Linked DNA regions of Ovis aries. The protein of the gene in region 1 purifies or fractionates together with the protein of each later gene. This does not show direct contact. Links are inferred from orthologs where the notes say so. Each region holds a gene or a part of one and is shown in the gene's direction. Other genes may lie near its edges.

Region 1 (3,397 bases):
GATAATCAAAGGGGGAGTGAGTGGTGGATAGACAGCTACCCTAGGAAGGTCTCTGAGGATGGGATCTGAGACCTTAAACAGAAAATGATTAAGTGGTTAAACAGTGACTTTTCAGCCAGGAAAACTCTGTGGCGGTGTGTAGCAGATCCTGCAGGGTCTTGTCAGATGTGGAGAGAAGTGTGGTTTCAGTCCAAGTACAGGTCAGGGTTTTAAAGTAAGGGCCTGCTGGATTGTGACTTGTGATCTACTTTCTCTAGCTGACTTTTCTGGAGGGCTGGCAAAAGGAAACCAGTTAGGCTGGTGTCATCTAATTGAAGAACAAGTAGCTTAGACCGCCAGGGGTAGTGTGGGTGTGTGTGCACTGTTGCTCAGTCATGTCTGACTGTTTGCAACCCCATGGACTGTAGCCTGCCAGACTCCTCTGTCCATAAGTTTTCCAGGCAAGAGTACTGGAGTGGGTTGCCATTTCCTCCTCCAGGGGATCTTCCTGACCCAGGGACTGAACCCATCTCTTGCATCTCCTGCATTGGCAGGTGGATTCTTTACCACTAGTGACACCTGGGAACCCACTTCCCTGGTGGCTCAGACGGTAAAGCATCTGCCCGCAATGCGGGAGACCCATGTTCAATCCCTGGGTCGGGAAGATCCCCTGGAGAAAGAAATGGCAACCCACTCCAGTACTCTTGCCTGAAAAATTCCAGCGACACCTGGGAAGGGGGGATGCAAAAATGAGCAGACTCTTCAAATCCATCCAGATCTTGGTAGGAAAATAGATGATCCATATTGAGATAAAGACAAGGTATTTTAAAGGTAGAACTGACTAGTTGTGGGACTGAGTATGAGTAAGGTGAGGCACTTTGGTTTCTTTGGAACCAGAGCTTTCAGGAGTGCCATAAATCGAGGCTTCATAGCTTTTGGCACAGTTGGTGAGTCATCACCCCCAATCTACCGCAAACTTAGTTCCATTAGGACAGGTACCCCATCTCATTTGCTCTTCGGTGTATTTTCTTTGGAAGTCGGAGGAGCTCAAAAATTTTAATGTTGCTTCCTCAAGAGGGGAAATGCTCCCAACACACCCTGTCTAGGCTAAGTACCCCTCCCTGGTCTTCCTTTCACTCTCCTTCCATTCTTCCCTGGTAGAATGGCCGCCCCTCCAGCGCAGGGACGCCTAATCTCCCATCGACTTGGCACAGTTAGTGCCTAGAGTAGGTCAGTTCAGTCGGTCAGTCGTGTCCGGCTCTGCAACTCCATGGACAGCAGCACACCAGGCTTCCCTGTCCTTCAAGTTTAGTCAAGATTGGGTTTTGGAAAAAAAAATAAAAGATTGGGTTTTGCCAAAGCGCTTTATGATGCTAAAAGCAACCACTAGGGGGCGGGCTGGTACCGACCGAGCTCCCGGCAGACGCCCTTTTCCTACGCTCCCACCGCTCAGGGCGGGGCTACCTCACGAACGGCCCCTGTGCCGTATCTCGGGTCAAGTGGGGGGCGTAGCTTGAGCTCCGAATGCGGCCGGAAACTGCCGAGAAGGGCTTTGACGAAGCTCTCCGTCGGCCCCGCAAAGAGGCGGAAGTAGCCGAGAAGCGCCGGAAACTTCCGATCTGCGGCGCGTGTGAGTTCTTTGGCTGTGCGCTGCGCCAGTTGTCATGGAGCCGGCCGGGCCGTGTGGCTTCTGCCCCACTGGGGAGGCCCAGCCGGCTCGCTACACTTGCCCTCGCTGTAACGTGCCCTACTGCTCGCTGCGCTGCTACCGGGCGCATGGCAGCTGCGCCGAAGAGTTCTACCGTGACCAGGTGCTGGGAGAACTGCGCGGTCGCAGCGCCTCGCCCAGCCGCCTGGCCACCGCCCTGCGCCGGCTGCGTCAGCAACGTGAGACCGAGGATGAGCCCGGGGACGCAGGCCTCAGGCCTGGCCCGGCGCCCGGCGGCCTCTCAGGACTCTGGGAGCGGCTGGCCCCGGCCGAGAAGGTGGCCTTCGAGCGGCTGCTGAGCCGAGGCGAGGCCGGGCGGCTGTTGCCTCCGTGGCGGCCATGGTGGTGGGGTCGCGGGGCCGGGCCGCGGCTTCTGGAGGAGCTAGGTGATGCCCCAAGCGGCGATGCCGAGGAACTGGAGCCCTCCTCCGCGAGGATGCCGCCGGAACCCGTGAGGGATGAGCCCGCGGCTGTCGAGCCGGTTCTTGGAGACCTCCCCGGGGCCTGCCCTCCCGCCGTGCCCACCCGGATCCCCGCGCTGGCCAGCCTGAGCAGGGGCCGGACGTCGCCGCTTGTGCGCTTCCAGCTGCCCAACGTGCTATTTGCCTACGCGCACACTCTGGCCTTGTATCACGGCGGCGACGAGGCGCTGCTCTCGGACTTCTGTGCCACACTGCTCGGCGTTTCCGGAGCCCTGGGCTCCCAGCAGGTCTTCGCCTCTGCCGAGGAAGCCCTGCAGGCCGCAGCCCATGTGCTGGAAGCAGGCGAGCATCCCCCCGGACCTCTGGGCACACGGGGAGCCATGCGCGAGGCTGCCCGCATTCTGCTGGGTGAGGGCCCGGCCAACCAGAAAAGCTACACGCTGGCAGCGCTGGGGGACCTGGCGCAAACCCTGGGCCGGGCCCGGAAACAAGCGGTGGCCCCCGAAGAAGGAGATCGCCTCTACCGGGCCCGAAAGAAATGCCAGTTCCTTCTGTCTTGGACCAACGAAAATGAGGACGCCCTCACACCCCTGGCTCTAGACTGTGCCACGGCCCACCGAGCTCACACTGTGGCAGCTGAGGAGGTGGCAGCCCTCACGGGGGAGCTGGAGCAGCTTTGGGGAGGCCCCCTGCCACCTGCCCGGAGGACTCTTATTGAGGAGCTCCCCGGCTGAACCCTTTGTCATTAATAAAGCTGTGACCGCTCTGCCCCGTCGCCAGTGCCCATTTCTGAGTGGTGGTTCTTGTGCCACCGTCCCCCAGACTCTTGGGCCCACAAACTGCCTGTCAGCTTCTCCTTGACTGGGGCTGACCCAGCCAGTCTTTAAACAGCCTGGCCCAGAAAGGGAGAGAAGCAGCACCAAGGATTCCAGCTGTTTATCTAAGGAGGAAGAGCAGCACACCCCCCCTACACACCCACTCCATTTTGGAGCACTGGCTTCATTTCCCCCTTGCTCCAGCCACTTATCAGGCCGTTCATCCCAGTGTTTTGGAGCTCTGGGCAGGGTAGGGTACAGGCCCTTGTGTCCCGGGTGCGTCCAGGCTCCTGGTGCCCAGTGTGCTGGCAGCTGGGCAGGCACGTGCCCCAACCTGGGGTGTCTGGAGCTGCTTCAGTAGACGTAGGGCACGATTCGGTAGGGCACACGCTGGCAGTATTCGTGCCAGGCTAGGCCGTACTTCTGCAGACACTGCCGCTCATCCCGGTCCTCACGGTGCACCAGCAGCGCAG
Region 2 (3,644 bases), on another chromosome or scaffold:
TTCCTGACCCAGGTATTGAACCTGCATCTCTTACATCTGCTGCATTGGCAGACAAGCTCTTTACCACTAGTGCCACCTGGGACCCCATGTAGATCTCTGTCTCTGTGAATTTATCTGTCTGTCCGTTCATCCATCTACACCACACCTTTATCCAGTTATCTATTTGTAGACACTTAGATTGTTTCCAGTCTTAGCTACTGTGAATAACACTACAGTGAACATGGGGATGCAGACATCTCTTTGAGATTTTGTTTTCATTTCCTTTGGATAAATACCCAGAAGTGGGATTGCTAAGTCATATGGTAGCTCTATTTTTAATTTTTGAGAAACCTCCATACTGTATTCCATAGTGGTTGTACCAACTTGCATTCCCACCAACAGTGCATGAGGGTTCCCTTTTCTCCGCATTCTTGCCAATGCTTTTCTTTTTAATGATAGACATTCCGACAGGTGTGAGGTGATATCTCACTGTGATTTTTATTTGCATTTCCTTGATGATTAGTTGCTGTTGAGTACCTTTTCTTGGCATTTCTGTATCTTCTTTGGAAAAATGTCTATTCATTCTCTCTGCCCATTTTTGAATCAGAACTTGGGGTTTTTTTCATATATATGGTTAGTGAATATTTTCTCCCGTTCTTTAGGTTGTCTTTTCATTTGTTGATGGTTTCTTTTTTTGCAAAGCAGTTTCTCTCTTCTTTACTTTTTGAACTTTTTGTTGGTTTGGCTGTGCTGTGAGGCTTGCAGGATCCTCTTTCTCTAATCAGGAATTGAACCAGGGGTCATGGCAGTGAAAGCACCAAGCCCTAACCACTGGACCACCAGGAACTCCTCAAAGCAGTTTTTCTTTGAGCTCTTTTTTATATTTTGAGTTCCTGGTGAAATTTTGAGAGGAAGGATTCAGTATCCTGAACAAATGTTTAAAAACAAATTAGACTAGATAATCCTTTCCAACTTTAAAATACTCTGTTTTTGTGGTTATTATTCTAAGTTCTCATTAAATACCCATATCTTTGATTTTTTATAGCTCTCATGCTATGAGCCCAGGTGAAGAAATCTTAACGTTATTGCAGACAGTACAACTTGATATAGAAGAGCTTAAGAAAGAAGAAGCTTATCTTCCCCCAGAAGATGGTAAGTGATGGGCCAGGATAGAGCACGGAGTTAGAAAGAATTAAAACATCCCACTAAGTCTCAGAGGGTACTTTACTGAGAGTATACCTGTTTCATACCTGTTTCATGTGAGTATAGTATGGCAGTGTCACACTTCTTTTTCAGATGAACGGTGGTTAGATCTCTCACCAGATCAGCTGGACCAGCTGCTGCAGGAAGCTGCTGGCAAAAAAGAGCCAGAGCCCACTTCCAAGGGGCGGGAGGAGAACTATGACTTAACCCAAGTCTCAGAGAGCATGAAAGCTTTCATATCCAAAGTTTCAACCCACAAAGGAGCAGAGCTGCCTCGGTAATTTCTGTTAAAGTATAATTATCTAAATAGTTAAAGGATCTATGTTGGCATCATCCAATCATTGCCAGTTCTATGGTTTTGTTTTGGTTTTTTTTATTTTTTATTTTTAGTAAATGATTTTCAATGCTTTGTTTTCCTCTTTTGGTACCTAGTGCTATGATAACTTACTTATCTGGAGTCAAATTTCTGATAACCTGATTATGATCCTTGAAGTGAGCCAGAGAGATCACTCAGATCTAAAGGCCACTGCCCCAGAGCTGTGCAGGGCAACCATATACTTTACTATTTAGGCTTTTACTCAGAATATTATGGACTTTTAACATCTAGCTCTTATCAAGATCAGACATCTGATCTTGTACCCTCAAGTAGATTGGAAGCTTCAAACTTGAAAGAGGAGGATAAGTGCCGCTGGGTACCTTGAACACGTTGTCTTCTGCTCATGGCACAGGAACACCTGGAGTTCTTCCTTTTGGAGATAAAGTCTTTCCTTTCACTTTTTGGAGGTTAGTTCACCAGTAGTCAGGAAACTTATGAAAAGTCTCCTTTTTGGATTCTTAGCATTCCATCTGAAGGTATTGCCAGAAGCTTGATTTTTCTGTGTGTGCCAAGTCTATATTTGAACTATGGGGTCATGGAAAGTGTCCGGAGGAGCTGTACAGTTCTCTTAAAAGCTACCCTGTTGAGAAGGTGGTTCCATTTCTGCATTCAGAGTCTATGTATAAAATAAAGATTCACACATTTAATAAAACCTTGACACAAGAAGAAAAAGTCAGATGAATAGATGCATTTGAATTTCTGTCATTTGAAGGGAAAGTGAATTTTAAAAAGCCACAACATACATTCTCTATTTTGGAAGATTATGGTTTGGACCCAAACCACATCCCTGAGAATCCACATAATATTTATTTTGGTAGATGGGTTGCAGATGAACACAGAGAGCTTATTGAGTCATACAGTGTCAAAAAGAGACACTTTATTTGAAATACAAGCATGGATGCTGGTTTATCATTCATCATGGCCAACCATGGAAAAATGAAAAAAGATGATACTGTATTTGATCCATTTGTTGGAACAGGTGGCCTTTTGATAGCTTCTGCTCATTTTGGTGCATACGTATATGGAACAGACATAGACTACAATACTGTTCATGGCTTAGGAAAGGCTAGTAGGAAAAACTGGAAATGGAGAGGACCGGATGAAAACATCTTCATCAGTTTGGTTTAGGGCAAATCTTCATCAGTATGGTTTAGAGAAGTATTACCTTGATATCGTGGTTTCAGATGCATCAAAACCCTCCTGGTTGAAGGGCACTTATTTTGATGCAGTCATCACTGATCCTTCATATGGTATTAGAGAATCTACAAGAAGGACAAGTTCACAGAAGGAAATACCAGAGGGAATAGAAAATGTCCAGAAAGCCACGTTCCTGTTTCCTTGAGTTATCTGTGTGACATGTTTTTTGACCTGTTAAAGTTCTCAGCAGAGACCCTCGTATTAGGTGGAAGACTTGTCTATTGGTTACCAGAATACACCGAGCAGATGGTACCCTGGCACCTCTGCTTGAAACTCATCAGCAACTGTGAGCAGAAGCTTTCCAGTCACATATCAAGGTGCTTGATAACAATGGAAAAGGTGAAGGAATTTGAGAACCGAGGCCAGTATTCACATTTGCTGAGCGATCACTTTCTGCTGTACCAAGGTCATAATTCCTTCCATGAGAAATGTTTTAGTGGGGTAACAAAAAGAATTACCAAGGAAGAAAAATCTAGCAGGAATGAAAAATTAAGATTTTTGACAATGGAGAAAGAATAAAGATTTGATAGAAAAGACATCTGTATGTGAATTTTCATGTGTAATACAGAAAATGTACTGTTTTAAATAACTTTATATAATAAATGCTATAAAAAAGAGGAGGTGAAAGTGTTTATCAGAGGAAGAAATAATAACTGAGAACAAGGCAATGGCACCCCACTCCAGTACTCTTGCCTGGAAAATCCCATGGGCGGAGGAGCCTGGTAGGCTACAGTCCATGTGGTCTCGAAGAGTCGGACACAACTGAGGGACTTCACTTTCACTTTTCACTTTCATGCATTGGAGAAGGAAATGGCAACCCACTCCAGTGTTCTTGCCTGGAGAACCCCAGAGACAGGGGAGCCTGGTGGGCTGCCATCTATGGGGTCGC
Region 3 (4,412 bases), about 5.8 Mb from region 1:
TCCAGGGGATCTTCCCAGGGATCGAACCCAAGTCTCTCGCTTTGTAGGCAGATGCTTTACCATCTGAGCCACCAGGGAGGTCTTAAGCCCGAAGGTTGGGACACATTAAAATGGGCCCTGTTTCCTCTCTGGGTCCCTGGGCTGGGCCGCAGCATGGCCTGAACCCTGGATTCCTGGGTGCGGCCCTGGCCGAGGGGGCTCGCTCTGGCCATCCACCAGGGGAGTCAAGGCTCTGAGCTGAGGTTCAGCAAGTGCTTCCGCGGTGGCTCAGCTGGTGAAGACTCCGCCTGCAATGCAGGAGACCTGGGTTCAATCCCTGGGTTGGGAAGATACCCTGGAGATGGGAAGGGCTACCCATCCCAGTATTCTGGTCTGGAGAATTCCATGGACTGTATAGTCCACAGTGTCAGACTTTATTTTTTGGGGCTCCAAAATCACTGCAGATGGTGACTGCAGCCATGAAATTAAAAGACGCTTACTCCTTGGAAGAAAAGTTATGACCAACCTAGATAGCATATTCAAAAGCAGAGACATTACCTTGCCGACTAAGGTCCGTCTAGTCAAGGCTATGGTTTTTCCTGTGGTCATGTATGGATGTGAGAGTTGGACTGTGAGGAAGGCTGAGTGCTGAAGAATTGATGCTTTTGAACTGTGGTGTTGGAGAAGACTCTTGGGAGTCCCTTGGACTGCAAGGAGATCAGCCCTGGGATTTCTTTGGAAGGAATGATGCTAAAGCTGCAACTCCAGTACTCTGGCCACCTCATGCGAAGAGTTGACTCATTGGAAAAGACTCTGATGCTGGGAGAGATTGGGGGCAGGAGGAGAAGGGGACGACCGAGGATGAGATGGCTGGATGGCATCAGTGACTCGATGGACGTGAGTCTGAGTGCACTCCGGGAGATGGTGATGGACAGGGAGGCCTGGCGTGCTGCGATTCATGGGGTCGCAAAGAGTCGGACACGACTGAGCGACTGAACTGAATAGTCCACAGGGTCGCAAAGTCGGACACGACTGGGAGACTTTCACTTTCGGAGCAGAAATGACCAGTCACGATCGGCAGGCGAGGCCGGGGCGCCTCCCTCAGGAGGCTTGCCACGCGGCGGCCTGCCCGAGTCGTCCAGTGGGCGGGACAAATGTACACCGCGGGACACGCCCCGCGGCCCGGTTCCAGGGACCCGAAAGAGCAGGGACGGCTGCTCCGGAACAGCACCGGAAGTGCCTGGGAACCGCGCGGGATGCGTTGACGCACTTCCGGTTCTCGCAGCTTCCGGCAAAGTGGGCTACAGTACCAGGAACGAGGCTCTGGCCGTTAGCCCTGGAGCATTCTGGGAGTCGCAGCCCTGCCTCCTCACCCAGACTCCCTTCCTGAGTCAATTCCGGTCTCTTCGCGAAGGAGCGCCACGGTTTCCTGTAGGGAAGGCAGCGCATGCGCAAAGTCATCACTCCCGATAGGCCTCAGGCGTGGGAGCCAGGGGCCTTGTGGGAGATGTAGTTCTTCAGGCGCGGGAGAAGCGGCCATCGGCCAGCGGGGGACTCGGTTTCCCACGAGGCTGAGCGCGGCTCAAGATGGAGGCAGCCAGGCCGAAGTGAGCCGGTAGGTTTTTGGTGGGAGGGCCGCGCTGCTGACCCGTCCGGCTTCAGCGGGCCACTGTCCGTAGTCTGCTGCCCCAACCAGGGAGACCCTCGTGAGGCCCGCACCCTTGGCCCGCCCCCGCCCGACTTGGCCGCAGGACTCAGGCAGCTGACAACGAGCGCCTGCTGGGCACGCGCCGAGATTCTGGGCGCGTGGAGTGGAGAAAATCAAGGCTCTGCCTCCTAGGGGAGAGAGACAACCCTCAAGGAAGCCAGCGCTCCCTGGGACCTGGCCAGCCCCGACCCCGGCCCTGAGAAAACCGCGCCTCCGTCAGCCTGGACTCGGCTCTGCCCTCCAGTGAGCTCAGGAAGTTCTCAGAGAACTCAAGAGACGCAGACCTGGCATGCTCGATCTTGGGGCGCGATTCCTGGCTCCCCTCGGAGTGTCCCACTGATCACGGGCGTCCAGGGGACGGGAGTGCAAATTTAGGAAGCCGGAGGCTGGTCGAAGCTCCAGCTTTGCCTCCAGTGTACGGAATGACGGGCCAATTATCTCCCCACTCCTGTCCTGCCAGCCCTAAAACAGACACCGTTGGCGTTTACTTCGTGTCCCCTTTCCTGGAGTTGTTCCTGCATTTGGGGAGTCATGCAAGGCCCAGAGGAATGGAGATCTCGCCTGCGTTTGACCTGGAGCAGGGCACTCGGAGCCACTCCTGGTCCAACTGGCCTGGTCTTTGGTGGGTGCAGGAGCAACAGAGTCACCCTTGGCAAGCAAGGGAGGCCTGGTGGGAAGAGGAAGTTGGTGGAGGCTGAGGCCTGTCCTCTGAGCCTGGAAACAAGTTTCAGGGTGCTTGGTGACACTGGAATGCTAACCAGGTGTTGGCAGGACTTCTGTGCTCCACTGGGAAAGTGAAGGGTGTGTGGAGGATCACAGATGTCGCTGGAGGTTGCCTCAGGAGCTGTGGGGCCGGCCTCTGCCAAGCAAGGCTGAGCCAGCTTCCTGAGAGCCTGACCCTCAGATGTCAAGGACCTGGCTGCAGTCCCTTCTGGAGCTGCCAGGGCATCTCTGCACTCAGGAGCACACCTCCTCCCCACAGAGCCGGCAGGTGCCTCCGGCTTTGTGGAGTACTTCCTGCCTGCCCTGCTCCCAGGCAGCATCCCGCAGCAAGCTCTAAAATTCTTTATTGCAGTTGTTAGCACAGTGAATAAACGTACTCCTCATCCACACAGCAAATGTTTGTGAAGTCTGACTGAGTCAGTTCGAGCTGTTCAGTGAGCCAGTCTGCAGTTCCCGCCATGACTGTCAGCTGTTTTCCGTCCCTCTGAGCACTCACTGACCTGAAAACGTAATAAGCTATCACGTGGAACCACCACAGGACGTGTCAGTTACCACGATTAGACTAGTGACTGATACAGTGTCGATTCTGTAATTTCACTTTTTGAAAAGAGTGATCACCCTTCATGACTCCTTGTAATCCATTAGAAAGTAATTGAATATGCTAGTGTGTGGAAACACTGGCGCTGTGTCAAAACGAAACAGTGACAGTCTTTCTCCGAAGTGAAAAATTACTCAGTTAATGGCCGGAATACCCTCAGTTTCCATTTTGTTTTAATGTTTCACCCCTGCAGCTGCTAGCCAGTGTGAGGAGGGTGATGCCTGCTTTAGCACAAAATTACATGCTCTGCATGTCACTCATTCATTCCTTATTTACCGGAGAAGGCAAGGGCACCCCACTCCAGTACTCGTGCCTGGAAAATCCCATGGACGGAGGAGCCTGCTGCTGCTGCTGCTGCTGCTGCTAAGTCGCTTCAGTCGTGTCCGACTCTGTGCGACCCCATAGACGGCAGCCCACCAGGCTCCTCCGTCCATGGGATTCTCCAGGCAAGAGTACTGGAGTGTGGTGCCCTTGCCTTCTCCGGACAGAGGAGCCTGGCAGGCTACAATCCAAAAGGCCACAAAGAGTCGGATGCAACTGAGCTGAGCGTACTGCCTGCCACTACCACACGTGGCCGACAGAGGGAGCGCGAGGATTGCTGGTGACCCTGGGTTGACACCCCGGCCGGCTGCTCTACCAGACCACCCCGTGCGGGTCCCCTAGTGGCTCTAGTCAACCCTGCCTGGCGAGGACTGAGGGAGGTGACAAGTCAAAAGGACCAGCTCCTGGGCCTGGCTGTTTTGGGGGCTTTGTAAACCCAGGCCCACTCCGGGGATGTTGGCACCACTTCCATTTGTCCGCCATCTGGTCTGATGGCTGGCTGTCCCTCCCTGCCCTTAGCCAGTCACCGAGCCGCTGAGCAGAGCCGTACCAGGGGGCCTTTGCCACCAAGAACCTTCGTCAGCATTCAACCCACCTGCCCTCCAGCATCCAGCAGGCGCCCATCAGACGGGGAGGTAAGAGGAGGGCTTATGGTCGGTGTGGCGGGGGTGGGGATGGGGGCTGGCCCTTCCTCCTGGGACACTGCTCTTCCTGCTGATCCTGCCTGGGGTGGTGGGTGTGAGCTTGTGTCCGGGGACTCCCGGGGCTGTTTTGGTGCAGGTGTGGCGTGGTCTGGGGACACATGGCAGAGGCAGGGGACAGCCGACACTTCCCTGACTCGGAGGCCGACACCCTGCCTCCGGACACTGGCTCCCTCAGCGACTCGGACTCTGACCTTAGTTTGCCTGATGGCGCTGGGGCGGCTGCCCTGTCCCTGGGGGGGCTGCCTGGGGAGGTGTCCGGGGATTCGGGCCCCGATGAGCCCCCCTCGCCCCCCAGAGGCCTCCTCACAGAGGCAGTGCAGCCCTTCCACCTGAGAGGCACGAGCCCCACCTTCTCCCAGCGCAGCCACAGCATCTTTGA

Evidence for each region.
Region 2: the proteins of ZNHIT2 (region 1) and ECD purify together in Homo sapiens (affinity purification with mass spectrometry; 3 studies listed by BioGRID and IntAct, counting the BioPlex papers as one, with this or other methods). This does not show direct contact. The link is inferred for Ovis aries from reciprocal best matches to the Homo sapiens genes ZNHIT2 and ECD.
Region 3: the proteins of ZNHIT2 (region 1) and TSSC4 purify together in Homo sapiens (affinity purification with mass spectrometry; 3 studies listed by BioGRID and IntAct, counting the BioPlex papers as one, with this or other methods). This does not show direct contact. The link is inferred for Ovis aries from reciprocal best matches to the Homo sapiens genes ZNHIT2 and TSSC4.

What each region holds. Positions count from the first base shown.
Region 1 is NC_056074.1:39,773,046-39,776,442, reverse strand, and holds ZNHIT2 (zinc finger HIT domain-containing protein 2), read left to right. Parts: upstream 1-1,624; 5' UTR 1,625-1,643; coding exon 1,644-2,843; 3' UTR 2,844-2,877; downstream 2,878-3,397. Other genes in the region: delta(14)-sterol reductase TM7SF2, read right to left, coding at 3,279-3,397. UniProt on the Homo sapiens protein: May act as a bridging factor mediating the interaction between the R2TP/Prefoldin-like (R2TP/PFDL) complex and U5 small nuclear ribonucleoprotein (U5 snRNP).
Region 2 is NC_056078.1:28,427,006-28,430,649, reverse strand, and holds part of ECD (protein ecdysoneless homolog), read left to right. Parts: intron 1-1,024; coding exon 1,025-1,131; intron 1,132-1,275; coding exon 1,276-1,459; intron 1,460-1,465; exon of another isoform or gene 1,466-3,644. UniProt on the Homo sapiens protein: Regulator of p53/TP53 stability and function. Inhibits MDM2-mediated degradation of p53/TP53 possibly by cooperating in part with TXNIP. May be involved transcriptional regulation. In vitro has intrinsic transactivation activity enhanced by EP300.
Region 3 is NC_056074.1:45,569,277-45,573,688, reverse strand, and holds the start of TSSC4 (U5 small nuclear ribonucleoprotein TSSC4), read left to right. Parts: upstream 1-1,544; 5' UTR 1,545-2,309; intron 2,310-3,848; 5' UTR 3,849-3,964; intron 3,965-4,109; 5' UTR 4,110-4,131; coding exon 4,132-4,412. UniProt on the Homo sapiens protein: Protein associated with the U5 snRNP, during its maturation and its post-splicing recycling and which is required for spliceosomal tri-snRNP complex assembly in the nucleus.